2 linked regions of the Lytechinus pictus genome follow. The protein of the gene in region 1 binds, or shares a complex with, the protein of each later gene. Links are inferred from orthologs where the notes say so. Each region holds a gene or a part of one and is shown on either strand. Other genes may lie near its edges.

The links. Proteins that work in one complex are often made in the same cells at the same time.
Region 2: DNA polymerase epsilon catalytic subunit A-like (region 1) and DNA polymerase epsilon subunit 4-like share a complex: the UniProt entries of both Homo sapiens proteins name them as parts of the DNA polymerase epsilon complex. The link is inferred for Lytechinus pictus from reciprocal best matches to the Homo sapiens genes POLE and POLE4.

Annotation. Positions count from the first base shown.
Region 1 is NC_087252.1:33,394,936-33,403,203, forward strand, and holds the start of DNA polymerase epsilon catalytic subunit A-like, read right to left. Parts: upstream 3,115-8,268; 5' UTR 2,860-3,114; coding exon 2,786-2,859; intron 1-2,785. Other genes in the region: MAM domain-containing glycosylphosphatidylinositol anchor protein 2-like, read left to right, coding at 3,212-3,260. UniProt on the Homo sapiens protein: Catalytic component of the DNA polymerase epsilon complex. Participates in chromosomal DNA replication.
Region 2 is NC_087255.1:27,939,423-27,947,098, reverse strand, and holds the start of DNA polymerase epsilon subunit 4-like, read right to left. Parts: upstream 3,121-7,676; 5' UTR 3,093-3,120; coding exon 2,895-3,092; intron 1-2,894. UniProt on the Homo sapiens protein: Accessory component of the DNA polymerase epsilon complex. Participates in DNA repair and in chromosomal DNA replication.

The DNA.
Region 1 (8,268 bases):
ACAAGTTTTCACTTTTTCAAGTGGATCTCAGCAATGTGTTCATGGAAGTCAGAATAGGGATAGGAATTAGGTGGGGGAAGTAGGTTGACGGGATATGGGTCAACAGAACACTTAACCCCCCCCCCCCCTCTCTCTCTCTCTACCCCTTTCACCCTTTCCTGAGAGACTAGCCTTTGCGAGGGTGAGCAGGAATAAGCCTTCCAGTTTTTTTAGAGGTGAGTCCTTCAGAACTTGCAAAGTTAAGGGTGTTATGCTAAATTAATGATGAATTGAGATCAGTTTTGGTTTCATATTAAAGCAAATTTCATGAGTTACTAAATTGAAATGTAATGCATGAGTAAACAGGAATTGTAATTTTAATGTAGCTTTTTTAGTTTATTATGTGGATCTTATCAAGTGTGCTTGTGAGAGTCAGAGTAATGTGATGGTACCTGTTACATGCAAGGGGGTGAGATAGGGTAAGACTGGGTTATAGGGGCATTCTTCTTTGTGTTCTCTTACAAATAACAAATCATGTACTCACCCCCGCCCTCCATCCCCTTTCTTTCTCCTGGATGGTATTCAAACTTAAATGACTTATGGTTGACGGGTCTTTCTTTTCCATTGAATGATTATTAAAAACTTGACTAATTATGATGATTTATGAAATAATTTATTGAAAAAGCTGAATGTTTGATTGATCATTTATTGAAAAGGGTGAATATTTGATTGATCGCACTGATTGAGTTGATTTACTAATAGATTATTGATTGAATGATAGGTAAAAGTTGATGACCTAATTTTCAGAATTTATTATCAAATTGACAGTCCGCTCTGCACTTAATACGTACATGTAATAGCAATCAACCTCAATCTCAAAAGGAGAGAGGAATGGACCTGCAGGAGGGAGGCTAAACGTTCTGTTGACCCTTTTCCCATCAGCTTACTTCACCCACTGAAGTCGTTTCTTACCCCTATTCTCCCGACTCCAATGAACACACTGCTGAGACCCACATAGTAAAGTTAAAATGCTGCACTAAAGATTGCAATTCATGCTCACTCATGCATGGAATTGCAATTTGATAATTCATGAAATTTGCTTTAACAATGCAAATTGATAATGACCATCAATTCATCAAAACACCCTCAAGTTTGCAAGTTCCAAGGGACTCACCTCTCAAAAACTGAAAGAAACCAAAAGGCTAATTCCTGCCCACCCTGATTTTCATACCCTTTGTTTAAGTGGGTAGTGCTCACTCAAGCATGAATATTTTTCCAACATTTTGGTGTCATTTGAAAGATGACTTTATTGGCTTTCCATATATATAATTCTTTCCCCCCAAAGTGATATACTTTTTATTTGGCAGCCATTTCAAAAGTGTATAGTTTTTTTTGGACGCACTGTATAAGAAAGACAAAGAAGAGGGAAAGTGTGGATTCATATTGTTTGGTAAGTTTTATGGAAAAAAGTGGTCATTAACAATGTATGATCTAGTGTCTAAATTCCGGTTATGAGGGTGTTGTTGTGCCTTGACCCTTGACCTTGTACATGTAACTTTCCTGCGCACTACGCCAGAGTCACTCAAGCCAGGGTTCATTACATGCCGCCGCGCACAAAAAAATCAAGCCATAGAAGTTGTGTGTTGTGGACGCCAGAAGTGGGATCGCAGCACGCGCGACCCAATACTTAGAAACCCACTGCCAAATGCGGTTCATGGTGCGAGGTACTCATTCAATGAACAAGGTTATGATATAACCTTGTTCTCAGTTATACATGTATCTCCATGTGTGGCAAAATAAGGATGGCAATGTTTGGCTCATTTTCTCTTTTTCTTTGGGACAAATGCTTGATTTTCTTACACGTGACAGTTTCCAATTCACCTATTCGTCGTAACTTGGCCCTTAAGTAAATTTGATGCTTTAAATTATTTTTTTCTTAATAAAAAATAGAGATAAAAAATGAAAATTTTCTTGCCATATTATTTTCCACCAATAGAGGGCGTACACAAAAATATGCCCAAAATTCAATTTTTTCGAGCGCTCTAGTGAGTACAAAAATTATTCCCAAGTTACTTATAAAAAATAAATTGCAACTGTATGGAAATTAGTAATTTTGGTCACAAAAATGATATTTTAATGATTTTTTAAAGTGTGTGCTCTGCACAGCATTGGCATGCCATGATGTAGTCCTCCTACTATCCTAGACCTATAGTCCTACCTGTAGATTCCCCACAGGCAGGGTGGTTGCAGTGAACAAGTGGGTGGTTGCAGTGAACAAGTGGTGCGAGGTTAGTATACTTCTAATACTAATCTCACAATACGTGTGACTGTGAGTGCGCCAGAGTTAGAACCTTGACCTTGAGTGGGTCTAGCCTACTGCCTAATTCTAACTTTTAAAATGTAAGTTTCTCACGTTAGATTAGATTAATGCAAAAGAGAAAAAATACAGGCTTAGAAAACTAAGTACAAAATGCAGCTTCACAATTATGGGTTCTTAAATCTCGACATGAATAATGTCATGATGAATCTCGATTCAATGACAATGAAATGATGAATGATCAATGAATGACAAACTATTTTTAAAATAGATAGTTAGGCCTATTCTAAATCTAAATTCTAATTAATCAATGACGTTTCTATCTAGTAGGCCTATCAGGTTTTTGTAGCACGTGGTGTAACATTACTCGTTAGACCTATGTTGCATTAATAGACAGGCTCGAGTCAAACAACGTCCATGAAGTCGATTGACGATGGTGCACTGCAGATGCAGCTGAATGCCTGCAAGCAGTAGGGTCCGCTCACTCACCTACCACCTCCCCCGGAACCATCGGCGTTCTCACTGCGGTCGGCCCTGTAGCGGCCGCTGTTCTGCAGAACCATTCCGAAATCTGAACAGACACTCAGTGATAATTATTTTAACTTTCTGCCTCTCATGTGAAGTTTTGTCCAAATTCAAAGCCTCCAAACGCATCAGTAATACTTCAAAATATGTGTCAGCCTGGTACATGTACGTATTCGACAGAACAATATCAAAGACAAAGTATTAAATTAGGCTTGTTCGTGTTATTCTCGATCAGTCGATGATCTAGGAAACTTCATGTTTGGCGCGGGCGCGAAAATTGTTAACTTCAAACTAAAGAGGGCGCGCAAAATGTGAGGTTCTTTATTTGAGCTGAGCTGAGGAGCCGAGATATCGATATCGGAGTCTGAGAGCGACTAAAAGTAAAACATCATGAAATTCTTAATATTTTCAGCCTTTTCCTTGTTGTTGGTGATGAAAGGTAAGTCGCTTGTCCTCGTTTACAAGAGTGTGTGCTATTTATTGTACCATTAAGTGTGTTTAAGCAGTGATGTTTCTTTTTGGTATACCCGGAAATCGGCTCAGCTCAGTGAGGACTGACGACGGGAGCTCCGACGTCGCAGTCCCGGTACCTCCGGCGCCGGTGTGGTAGAAAATTTGGACCGGAGCCCGCCAGTCCAAAACGGCTAGTAAGTAGGCCTATATTTGGGCTGTCAGTACCAGGCCAAACGGCTAGCCGATCGGGGCTGCCAGATCCAAAAGACTGGTTGAAATTTTTGCCGATACGAACGGAAAGCCGCTGTTTGGTTCCGTATTCGTCAGAAGGTTCGAATGTAGTAGGCCTAGGCCTAGGCCTAATATATAATAATATCTGCTTTGGTGAAATGTTTCAATATAGGCCTAGGCCCTATATAATTATAGGTATGTGACAAAAAAAATGAAAATCATCAAATATGAATAAATTTGGTATCATTTGAAAGCTCTTAAAAAGACCTTTCAAATGATACCAAGAACTCTAATTTTTATCAAGAAATTATAAAGTTATTCCAGTTTAAGTGAAGTCGCGCATATTCATCCAGGTTTACTTTGTGGTCATTGTCTTAATGTAAAGTCAATTCAGTGGAGTACAGAACCGATTTTTGTGACCATTTTGAACCCAAGTCTTCAACAGGCTCTAACTTTGTTTTTTAGCCCTATGAAGTAATTTAGGTATCAATGGAAAGGTGAAAGAAAACTCAATCGATGTGTAATCATTTCATCTTGTAATTTTTCTTATTATTATGTGTAAAATAATTTCTTCTAATTCTAATTAATTATGCAAATTACACAAAATCACAATTACTCGGTAACTCGCCCCTTTTTTTTGCCAAATAAAGGTGATCATGATACTTGATAGATAATTTATATAATTTAGTTGGCATCAAAACAGCATCATGTAGATAATTTCCTAAATAAATTTGTTTAAAGTATTGTTTTTGTAATTTCTAATGTATTTCCTTGTTTTTCTGATATAAATTACAAGCTCTTTTTCAACTTAGTATTGTAAATTTTGTATACATGTATGTACGGGGGTCCTTTTTTACGTATACAAATTATCCCTTTTGTACTTTGTATGACCAAATAAAAATACAAGTGTGCTTTTTTCTGATGTATTTGATTGTTTCACCAATTCCTTATGTATTCTATTGTTTCAACAATTTGTTATACATGTGTAATATGTAGCTTTTGATTTTAGAGACAATGGACATTTGATTACTTTTTTTAGGAGGGATGAGCAGCTGAGTGTAAAATATGTTATGTAGCATTATATGCAATTTATTTCAAGTATCAAGAAGTACAAAAATTAAGCTTTAATATATTCTATCAGTTTTTAATGTATTTCGTAGATTTGTATACACACATTGTATTGCAAAGGCCCTGTTTGAGCTCTCTTTTTTTAAAGAAAAATAAATGAATTCAAACTATTAGTTGAAGCCAAAAGAAAAGGAAAAGAGTGGTCTATTTCTTTCAAAACAAAACAAAAAACAACCAGGAAAAAAAGATAACAAAGCTCTAAACAACAAAACAGACATCAAAGCTCCAAACAAACATTAAAACAAGAGAAACAAAAGTGACACAAAAACTTGTACCAATCCCATCCCCATTTTCCAGTTTAAAACACAACCCCACCTGCACCCCTAATGAAAAAAAAAAGTATTTAAAAAAAGTAAAAAAATAAAATTAAAAAAAACATAAATACAGGACTTAGACCTATCTGGAAATGAAATATTATTTTCTCTGAGTTTTCATGTATTTTCTTACAAGAGTGAAAAAAAAAATTACAACAAAAAAATAAAGAACATATAGTTTGTGCATTTTAATGAAAAATCAACATATAAGATATTCTCCTTTCAAAAGCAAATCCAGTCTCCAAATAATGAAACTTGACCAAAAAAATTGAAAAAATAAACAATACAAAAATTTTAAAAAGAAACAAAAATAAAAGAAAACCTAAGGGGGAAATATGAACAGAAAAGAAACAAAAGAACAAAAAAAAAAAATGAAAATTTTAAAAATAGAAAAGAAAAGTGAAGAAAATAAAAAAGAAAAGAGAAAATAAAGAATATGAAAGAAGCTATTAAAAAAATAATCCTTTTTAAAAGAAGGGGAATGGGTCCTGCCTCGTAGTCCTGGGGAGCTGATTCACACACTCACTGATATTAAGCCTCAATCTGCCCAGCTTTCTTTTTCAAAATAAATTTGGAGTTGTGCCCCCCCCCCCCCCAATATCTTTGAATGTAGTTATATTAATCCAAAACACGAAAGAAAAGAGCAGTTAATTTGGTAAACAAACAATAAACCCCACTTCAGCAAGCAGCAAGATCAGCGCCCTAGCACAGCTGACAGCCACATACTAGCCCAGCGCAGCACCGTGAAAACTCACCAGGATGCCTATAATGCGCGCGCGGTCATGCAGCCAATTTTTGCTTGGCACATACATGTACAGTAAGTTTCGGAGCTAAAAAACATTGTTTCGGTAATCAAATCACTTAGATATTTCATATGCAGGTAATTAAATAAATATTCTACGTAGATATATAACGTTCAAAACTATACATACCTTCCTTTTTTTTAATTCAAGGCATCGAATTCGTCTCCAATCTTTTGATGGTCGACGTATCTCAGTCCTTGTTCATCGTACGGAAAAAAAATAAGCGATATCAAGCGGGATTCCCGATCTCTTGATCAATACCCCATTCATGATTTAAGGTCTAAAAATAGCACCGCTACAGCGATTTTAGCAGAGACATGCACTGTGCACTCGAACAAGAGGCGGAACGATAGTGCGGTGCAAGGAAATAACCTGCGGAAGCGCGGATTGTCACGTACCTACAATATATATATAATATTGGTGTGATTTTTATTAATTTCATCACAATTATTTCTATAATTCAGTCTAAAATTAAAAATGTTGGTCTAGGTAGATCTAGATAAGAGGTATTTCAGCCTCGTACATGTATGTTACGGACGGTACCCTCGGTACACGATGCGATGTAGTATGTACGGGTACCTTTTTTGCGCACGTGCAGCGCTGGACTGCCTGGACAGTTGACACGGTACCGTACTGTACCACGTCTCTTTTTTGGAGTAGAGTCTACTCTAACGGTAGTTTTTAAACATTTGTTTTTTAACTTTTTTATTGTAAACATGGACCGTGATTTTGTTATCCAATGCGAGGACATCTCGCATTACCTAAGGCAAACTTCAAATTGCGGGCGCGCTCATGCACACTCTTTTATTATTATTATTTCATCTCCCCCTTCATTTTCCTTCTCCCCCCCCCCCTTATTCCCTCTTCCTTTTTTCCTTTTCTCATATACTTTTCCCCATTTCTTGCGATCTCTTCTTCCTACGTTTTTTTCTCTCCCTTTTATTTTCATATATTTCCTCCTTTTTCGACTACCCGGGTCCCATGCCCCAACCCCCCCCCCAAAAAAAAAAATATGCGCATAGTGTGTGTCTCAATGAGGTGTCATTGAGAGTTCCCTGTGTTTCTGGCAGCCTTATTGTTGGACTTAGTTTTCTTGTATTGATACATTCATTTTGATTTCTACTTGATTACTTTGGGGGTTCGAAGAGCATGCAGCAGTGTTTACCCCACCATCACCCTAGTCGCCAATCCCATCCTATTTCTTGCTTGGTAATGAAGACCAAGACAAACCAGCCATATTGGTGGATATATTGAAGTTCACACCCTGAATAGCACAGGCGCACAAAGGGAGCACACAGTGTGAATAGGGCTTCATGGCTCCACCCAGCAGCCGTCCCCGGATGTTTAATTAATTGGAAGAGTGCTAAAAAATGCATACAACTTCCTAAATAACTTGAGATTCTCAAATCGGCAACTGTATCTGTTCTGTGGGTGTGGTTGACTTGGAGGAGCAAATTGGTTGAAAAGGACGACTGGAATATCACAATCTTGCTGTAGGGGGGATAATGGTGCATGAACAGCGTATAGGAACAAATCGCCTGGTCGGAACAAAGCGACTATGACGATCGCATCACACAACAAATGTCGGAACTAATCGGCGGGTAAAAGAGCCGCCGATTAGTACCTCCGGCCCCGATCGGCTGCCCGGTCCAAATCGCCTATGACACCGGCAGGTGATGAGCTCAGGGGCCTGTTTCATGAAATGGTCTTTGGTAGAGCCGCTGGAAGTACATGTATTACGTTACATCAAAAGAACGAGATATGGCTCAACTGTTTCACAAAGTCAAAGGCAAAGCCAATTTGGGCGATGCGAAGAATGGTCCTTTGAAAGACACCTCATCGACACCTCCAGACATGTCCTACGTACATGTAGGCATATCATATAATCATGATCTTCTTTGCACACCACCCGCCACTGTCGGCATTGAAAGAAAATGCGTTTAATGTACGGCAAGCCACAATATCATTATTACCTTTAAACTTTTTTTGGGGGGGGGTCATTCCTTTCGATTGCACTCTGATGCATTTTATCTGGGATGGCGCCAAGTTATTTCTTGTATGGGGGCTAGTTGTCATCAATTTCAGGTCGTCTTGCACGGCAACAAGACGACCTAAAGCGAATGCCATTTTAACTTCTCCGGGTTATCAAATAATTGTTTAATATGTTTTCTTTTATTTTCCCTCTTGTCTTTTCCCCACCCCTTTTTTATTTTTCAATCAAACTTGAAATATCGAAATGGGCGGCAATCTCTCTGACCCCTCATGTTTTCTCATTAGATAAACAACATGAAAACAATTTTTTTAGATAGAAATTATGTATGGTAAAAAACGTGTTTATAAAGTTCAGCAAAAAAAAAACATGATACAAAACTAAGATGTTACTAAAAATGCTATATAATTTTTTTTTATTCATTATAATTTTTTTTGTTGTTGCTGATATTGATTCTAATCAATGAAAAGTACTTGTTGTATTTGTGCTAACTTGAAATGATGAATGAAAGAAACAAAAATCTGCAGT
Region 2 (7,676 bases), on another chromosome or scaffold:
AACAAATTCTGGAAGGTTGTCCTACATCATAACCTCTCACTCGACTCCGTGATCCCACTTTGACTTGCACACACAGTCACAGACGTGACGCCCCGTGTCGTCTGCTTCTGACTTTACTTAAACTAAACTACTGTCTTTGTACTGAGACTGACTGACCCCCTCTACCACTATATGGCAAAAGAAAGACCAATGAAAATAAGATGTGATTAAACAAACTTACCAGCTTATTGAAGTTCACAGTATGGCCATCGGCCTATCGGCATGTTTAATTGATTGCCTCAATAAGTTACAATACAAGAAGAAGTTAAAATCAACATTTTTTTTACACACCTCTTGAGGTCAAAGAAACATAATGCATAAATGAATGGACTCAATAGCAGTCAAGCAAATAATGACCATTTGGTTTATATCCCATCCCATTTTCATTGGTCTTTCTTTTGCCATTTTGTGACATTGAATGATTAGTCATTATTGCCATTATTGGATTCCGGAACCAATTGCGCCTACATAAATAAATTAATACCGGTATACCTAGTTGTTGTGTGTCCAGACGATCAGCTTTAGAAAGTCATTTGGAAAAATTTACAAGCGAAGTTTCATAAATGTTTAGTACAAAATGTTAGGAAATATTATAGAGAACAAAATAGAAGATGATTACAACTATTGAATTCATATTTTTAGTGTAATCCAAAGACAAAAAAGAAGGCTTCAAAAATATAAAGTGTCCGGACACCCGACCCCCCATCCTACTCTAAGTCTAAAAAGTCTCTAGAGCAGGGGTTCTCAAACTACGGCCCGCGGGCCGGATCCGGCCCTTGGAGCCTCTCAATCCGGCCCGCGAGACTCTGCTGGTTTTTTTTTAATCACTTTTAAGTCACAATATGAAACATAGCTTAATATGATTACATTGTGTATCCATGTAGACCTAACGGTAACCGTAATAAAAGTAATGGCAGTCAAATTAATTTGGCTTTTAAACAAAGTTTAGTGGAGTCTTTTCTGTCTGTTCGATCTACTTTCTTATTACATGACCAGCGCTGTTCTCACCATGTTTGGATTTACATACAGGTGCGAAAGTGCATTTTCCAGAATGAACAGTTTAAAGAACTAACTCATACCGAAGTACATTGACAGGGGCCGCGGAACGGTTTTAAAAGTGGGGGGGGGGGGCTGGCCATGCAAAAAATCACAATCATTATGGTCACTACGTTTTTTCACATGGTTTTGGAAAAAAGTGGGGGGGGGGGCTGAAGCGCCCCCCTTCCGCAGCCCCTGCTTGACCAGTGAACATTTGCACCAGAGCCTTCGTCTGGCAAACCTTTTGTGCCAAGGTTCAAGCAACTTGTTGCTGACAGACTGTCACTTTTCCCATATTGAAAGTGACTAAGAGACTGACATCCTTGTTAGAGTCTACAACAGACTAGACAGGAATAACCGTCGTTTCTGGGGATTTATTCAACAATTTCTGACATTTTACTGTAATCCCCATTTACCGACGGTAGGGTGTACGTGTGGGCTCGCATGTGTTCTCATTCCCTCCCTTTTGTCAATTCACAGTCCAAAGTTTGATGTAATTTTACACATCGAATTTACAATCTAAGGATGTATAAACAACAAACTTTTAATTGATGATATTCTAACATTTAAATACTTTAAACGATATAGATGAAAAAGGCATGAAAAATATACTTTACCGATGTTTAATTGGGTTGAACACGATAAAAATGGTCAAAATGGCAGCCAAACTATAAAATATTTACAAACGAACGTCAACAATCACGAATGTGATATCGATATTGCTTTCGATATTATACGATCTGCTCCATATGCGAACGAAACCAAAGATAAACGATACTAGTTATACTAGTACGAGTACTAGTTATAATCGCGATATATCGATTCGAGACATTAAGTTAATAACGACAATGACGTCATTCAAGATGGCAACTTGCAAGAAAAACCGTCAGGTCAGGTGAAAATGTCTTAGATGACAGATTTCTCAATCATCCAGAGGATTTTTTTCAATAACTCCGGCCCAAGGTATGCAATTACTTAAGTTATATATATTTCCCTGATAATGGAAACCATGAAACTTTCAATTTTGCTTAAAAAACAGTTTTAAATCGCGATCTATAAAACGCTAGTTCACTATACGTTGGCTGTAGGTACGGGGCCCCATCCCCTTCAGTCTATGTATGGTGAGTGGAGCCAACGTAGTTCAGCGGAACAACCAAAATACAGAGACTGAAGCTTTTGGTCTAACAACAGACATGCTCTATTATTCATTCTACTTTGACTACAAAAAATATTGATACTTCAAGACATTATCTGTCTCCCCAATACCAGGTATGTATAGGTATAATCTAGATTCCTTTTAACAAAGTACTACAATTTTGTTATCATTAATATTGACTCTCGCTACATGTATTTTGAAATCTTTTCTAATTTTGCCTGTGTTCCATATGAAACTGTTATAAATTTGTTGGATTAAATGCTTCCAAAATAAGGGCCAAGACCCGGGGCCAAGAGAGCATCTAGGACCCCGACCGCAAGGGTCTTTGCGCTTCGCGGACATTTTTTTAAATCTTAGTATCCACTTCACCCTGGCCCTTTCAGGTTTACTTGGAGTCTCATCTGGCCCTTCATAGAAAAAGTTTGAGAACCCCTGCTCTAGAGTCTAGTCTTATTAAATTATGCCAGCCAATCTCTTAATTATTGGTATGTGCGTAGTAAAGATTATTGAAGCTAGCCCGTGTCAAACTTTTGTTTATTTTGACTGAGTGGAATTTGTATAGCATTAGTGCGCTTGTAAAGTTTGATAAATATTTTGGAACCCAGTTTATTATAATCTACACGACACATAAAACAACGAATGGGACCGAAGGTAAACTTACTGTAGCCTTCGCTAATAAAAATACAGATTCCTGACTTGCTAGTGTCACATCGGGATCAGTTTTCATAATGTTCTTTATCCTCGTCAATGGAAATTTGTTGTTTCTCGTGGCTGTTTGAGATTTTTCATCCTCTTTCGTCTCTGAGTTTTCATTTTCTTCTTGAACTTCCCGCGGAACCGCAGAACTTTCTTCAGCCATGGTTGATTTTTTTGTCACACTAAAGAGGGCGTCCTAGTCGCAACAACTGGGGGCCGTTTCATGAAATTTGCTGACTATTGTATTTTTCCGACAGCCGCAGTAAGTATACAGTCAGAGGCCATGCCTTTCAGCCAAACAAAACTAAGGAAATAATCAGCACTGACAATTTAGTCAGTGCTGACAACTTTCATGAAACACCTACCTGTTTTATTGTCCATGCTCGGTCGCTCCGCTCACTTTGAACACCGCGGCCCCAATAAACTTGAGCATCATTATCTAAATTTAGACCCAGTGCATTTGTACCGGGAATAAATCGTCAGGAGGGACAAAATATTATTTTGACAATTAAATATAAGGTCATAGCCAAGATCCAGGCACGGATCCAGGAAGGGGGCGCTAAAATTTAAAATTTGCACCCCCTTTTGGAAAATCCTGGATCCACCCCTGCCAAGACCATCGCCATGAGATCTTAAATATATGGAGAGCAATCTATCCCTAGAAGCCCCCTTCTGCGGGTCAAGGGCGGAAATCTCTCCCCAAAGGTAGGTTGACCAGGGGCTGGAAAAATTGACAAGCAAAAAAAAAAAAAGGAAAAAAAAGGTTATCACCCCAAGTATCAGGTCATTTCGACCAAAATGAATTTTTCAAGCAAGCAAGCAAAAAAAAAAAGGTTATCACCCAAAAAATTAAGGTCATCTCGTCCAAAATACATGTTTTATTTCGATTTTGAATGATGTATTTCATTTCTTTCCTTAAAAAAAGACCAAAAATAGTAGGGGGACATTTGATATTGTGTCCCCCTACTATAGGGGGGATGCGTCCCCCCCTGTCCCCCCTGGGATTTCCACCCATGCCGCAGGTACATTATTGTATATAAATACCTAGAAAACCCTTTACGTGTATCCAATGCATCGTGAGAGTACGGTTAAAATGAATGATTTTTTAATTTTATTGTGGAACTACATCGAATTATTTTAATCTTTTATTATGATCACTGCATGCCTCCGGCGGGAGAGAGGGGTCACTGCCATTTGAGAGTGGACAACTATTGATTTATTTATCAAAATTAACACCTTTCAAAATACTAAGGCTGGTAAATCTTCCTTATTTTCTGCCATTGTGCGAATTTAAACCTTGGTATTTTATATAGCACTCTGCATTAATACCATTATTGTATCAACAGCTTAACAAGTGCATGCCTCCTCTCCCTCCTCTTCAATTTGCAGACCTTCCCATGATTTTAATCAATTGAGGACAAGTGCCATTAAAAGACTAGCAACTTTGCTCTCTCACGATAATATTAATAAATAAATAACATGATGACATTCAGAACTATTTTATTTTTTTAAAAATCGGACAACCGTACATCCAATCTTTACTAGAACTGCCAGTGACAGCCGATCGATTTCCGAGCATCACCTGATGACTTAATGTATGCCGGAATATGAATTGCTTCTCTGAGATTATGAATGGAATAGTTTGATGAAGATTGATAATTTCTAATGCGCATATATACCACTCCAGGGAATGCGCAATATAAGTTCAACATAAATGTACAGTAAATTAGACAAGTATCAAATCATACATTAATAAAACTCACACACTAATTCATAAGGTGATGGGGTATGTATAGGTTTTCAAGTTTGTTTGGAAGACAGAAGAGAAGATGATATTTGAAATGTGTGGGGGTTGCACGGGCCTAATCACAACTGGCAAGCAAAATATATTCATTCATTCATTCATTCATTTATTGGTTATTGCAACATTTTTCATAACAAAATTCTGGACAAGAAAATACATATCTGAAACTTGACATCAAGATAATGAACAATAGTTTTGTATATAAATCATCAAATATATCTTACATAAATGAAAATCATTAAGTGGTATTTTCTGTTTCACAATAAAAAATAGGATGGTTGCAAGGGTCGTCACAAAAGCAAAGCTTGAAAACGTAACAACCCTGGAATATAGCCAAAATAATTAATATCTATTGTCATTTAAACGTGCAGGTGCATGAGAGACTGGGGGGGGGGGGGGAGATGCTTGGTCCTTAGCATGGAATTTTAGAAAATAAAACGTTTTGTTGTTTGATTTTAATTTATACATGTTCTAGATAAAAGTCAATGTCTAATTAAAATAATGATAACAATGGTAATGATTTTCTTTTTTTTAATTTGTTAGGTATTGGTTTAATTGCATTTCTTTTATAGTTCGTTTCGTATAAAGGAATAAAATGATCTTGTCAGCTTGAGTGAATCTGGCAATGCATTCCAAATATCAGGTCCATGATGTCTTAGTGTTTTATGTGCAAATAGTGTCCTGGGATTGTTTAAGTGAATATTATTGCATGTTCTTGTTGGATATGAGTGTAAATTGTTATTATATGAAAATAAATCCGTGAATACCGGAGGAAGCATGTCGTAATTATATCTATACATAAACAGTGCTATTTGTAAAGTATATTTTCAGACGATAAAAAAGAGGGTCTGTATGTGAAAGATATGCAGATTTGGAACACATTCTAACCGCTTTCTTTTGCAATAAAAGTATATGATTAAGCATTGTTTTGCAGCTATTCCCCCAAATGAGGTTACAGTAGTGAATATATGGTAAAATCAATGTATTATATATCATAACAAGAGATTTCTCTGGTAAGATTTGTTTTAGTCTACATAGTATTCCAATTCCTTTAGCTACAGAGGAAGACACGTTGCTTATGTGCGGAGTCCATGATAAATGATTGTCTATTGTTATACCAAGAAATTTTACGTATTCTTTTTTATCTAAAGGCACATTATAAATTTTTATATCTTGTATACAATTTTCATTTCTATGAGATGATTGAAAATGCATAATATGAGTTTTACTTATGTTAAGAGATAACTTATTACATTTAAACCATGATGAAACTTTATTTAATTCTAAATTCATTATATTTATTAATTCTGGTAAGTTCTTGTGAGATAACAAAATATTAGTATCATCGGCGAATAAGATGAGAGAAAGAATGGAAGATGAATTTACTATATCATCAATGTATATTAAAAATAACAAAGGTCCCAGAATAGAACCCTGCGGGACGCCGCAATTGATAAACGATAAAGGAGATTTAACATCATTGATAAAAACGTATTGTTGCCTATTGGAAAGATAACTCTTAATCCATGACCAAGCAATGCCCCTTATCCCGTAATTATACAACTTATGAAGTAAAATACCATGGTCAATGGTATCGAAAGCTTTACTTAGGTCCATAAATAAAGCAATTGTGTGATTTTTTTCTGAAAGTGAGTTTACAACTTTGTCCAGCAATTTGGTTATTGCGAAATCGGTAGAGAAATTTTTTCTAAATCCAAACTGGGCTGGTGTAATAATCTTATTAAATGACAAAAAGGAATCCAATCTTTTGTAAACAATTATTTCTAATATTTTTGATATGCATGGTAAAAGAGAAATAGGCCGATAATTTGTAACTTGAGTAGGATCATCTTTTTTATGAATCGGGACTACTTTGGCTATTTTCAATAGCTCAGGAAAGCATCCAGTTGAGAGTGATAAGTTAAAAATATGTTCCAATGGAGAAACAATACATGTTACAATTTGCTTTAACAGTTTTGTACTAATACCATCATAGCCTGTTGACTTCTTTGATGTTAAAGCTTGTACTATTTTAATTATTTCATGTCGGTCTGTGGGAGTAAAAAACATTGTATTTTGATTTGGCTGGGAAAGATATTCTTTAAAATTCGTATTGTCACTAACTATCTTGGAAGCTAAATTGGGACCGATGTTTGTAAAGAAACGGTTGAATGATTGTGCGATTTCAGCCGGTTGAGATATTTCTTCATTGTCTATCTTAGGACTGTCCCTGTTGCTATGTAGTTTGCTTTTGTTAATCAATTTGTTTATAACTTTCCACGTGGCATTTAAATTTCCTTCTGCATCTTTTAATTCCTTACAATAATAATCTTGTTTGGATGAGCGGATTACACTGGTAAGAGTATTGCGATATTTTTTATACTTCTTAAGACTTTGTTCAGACGGTTTAGAAATATACGATTTATAAAGTTTATTGCGTTTTTCAATTGAACGTATAATTCCTCGAGTGATCCATGGGTTTCTTTTATCATTTTTGCGTTGTTTTCTTTGAACAAGTGGTATATTTTTATTATAATAATGAGTTAGTTTGTCAATAAAGTATTTGTAAGCTCTATTAACATCATGCTGAACCATAATTTCATGCCAGTCGTCTCTTTCTAAGTCTTCAATTAAGGCCGAAATAGTATTCAAATTTTCTTTTCTATATTTTCTTTTATTCGGCTTTTTATTATCATTAAGCTTCAGAAGTGAAGAAATAAAAAATATTGGTAAGTGATCCGTAATATCATAAGTAAAAACACCACTATGATTATTATCATTAAAAGAATTGGAAAAGATGTTATCAATTATTGTCGCTGACATTGGACTTATCCTAGTAGGTATATTTATACATGGATAAAAGTCATATGAAAATAGTGTATTCAAAAATGTATTTATGATATTCTCACTGGCATCATGATTTCCGATTAAATGTGACGTGCT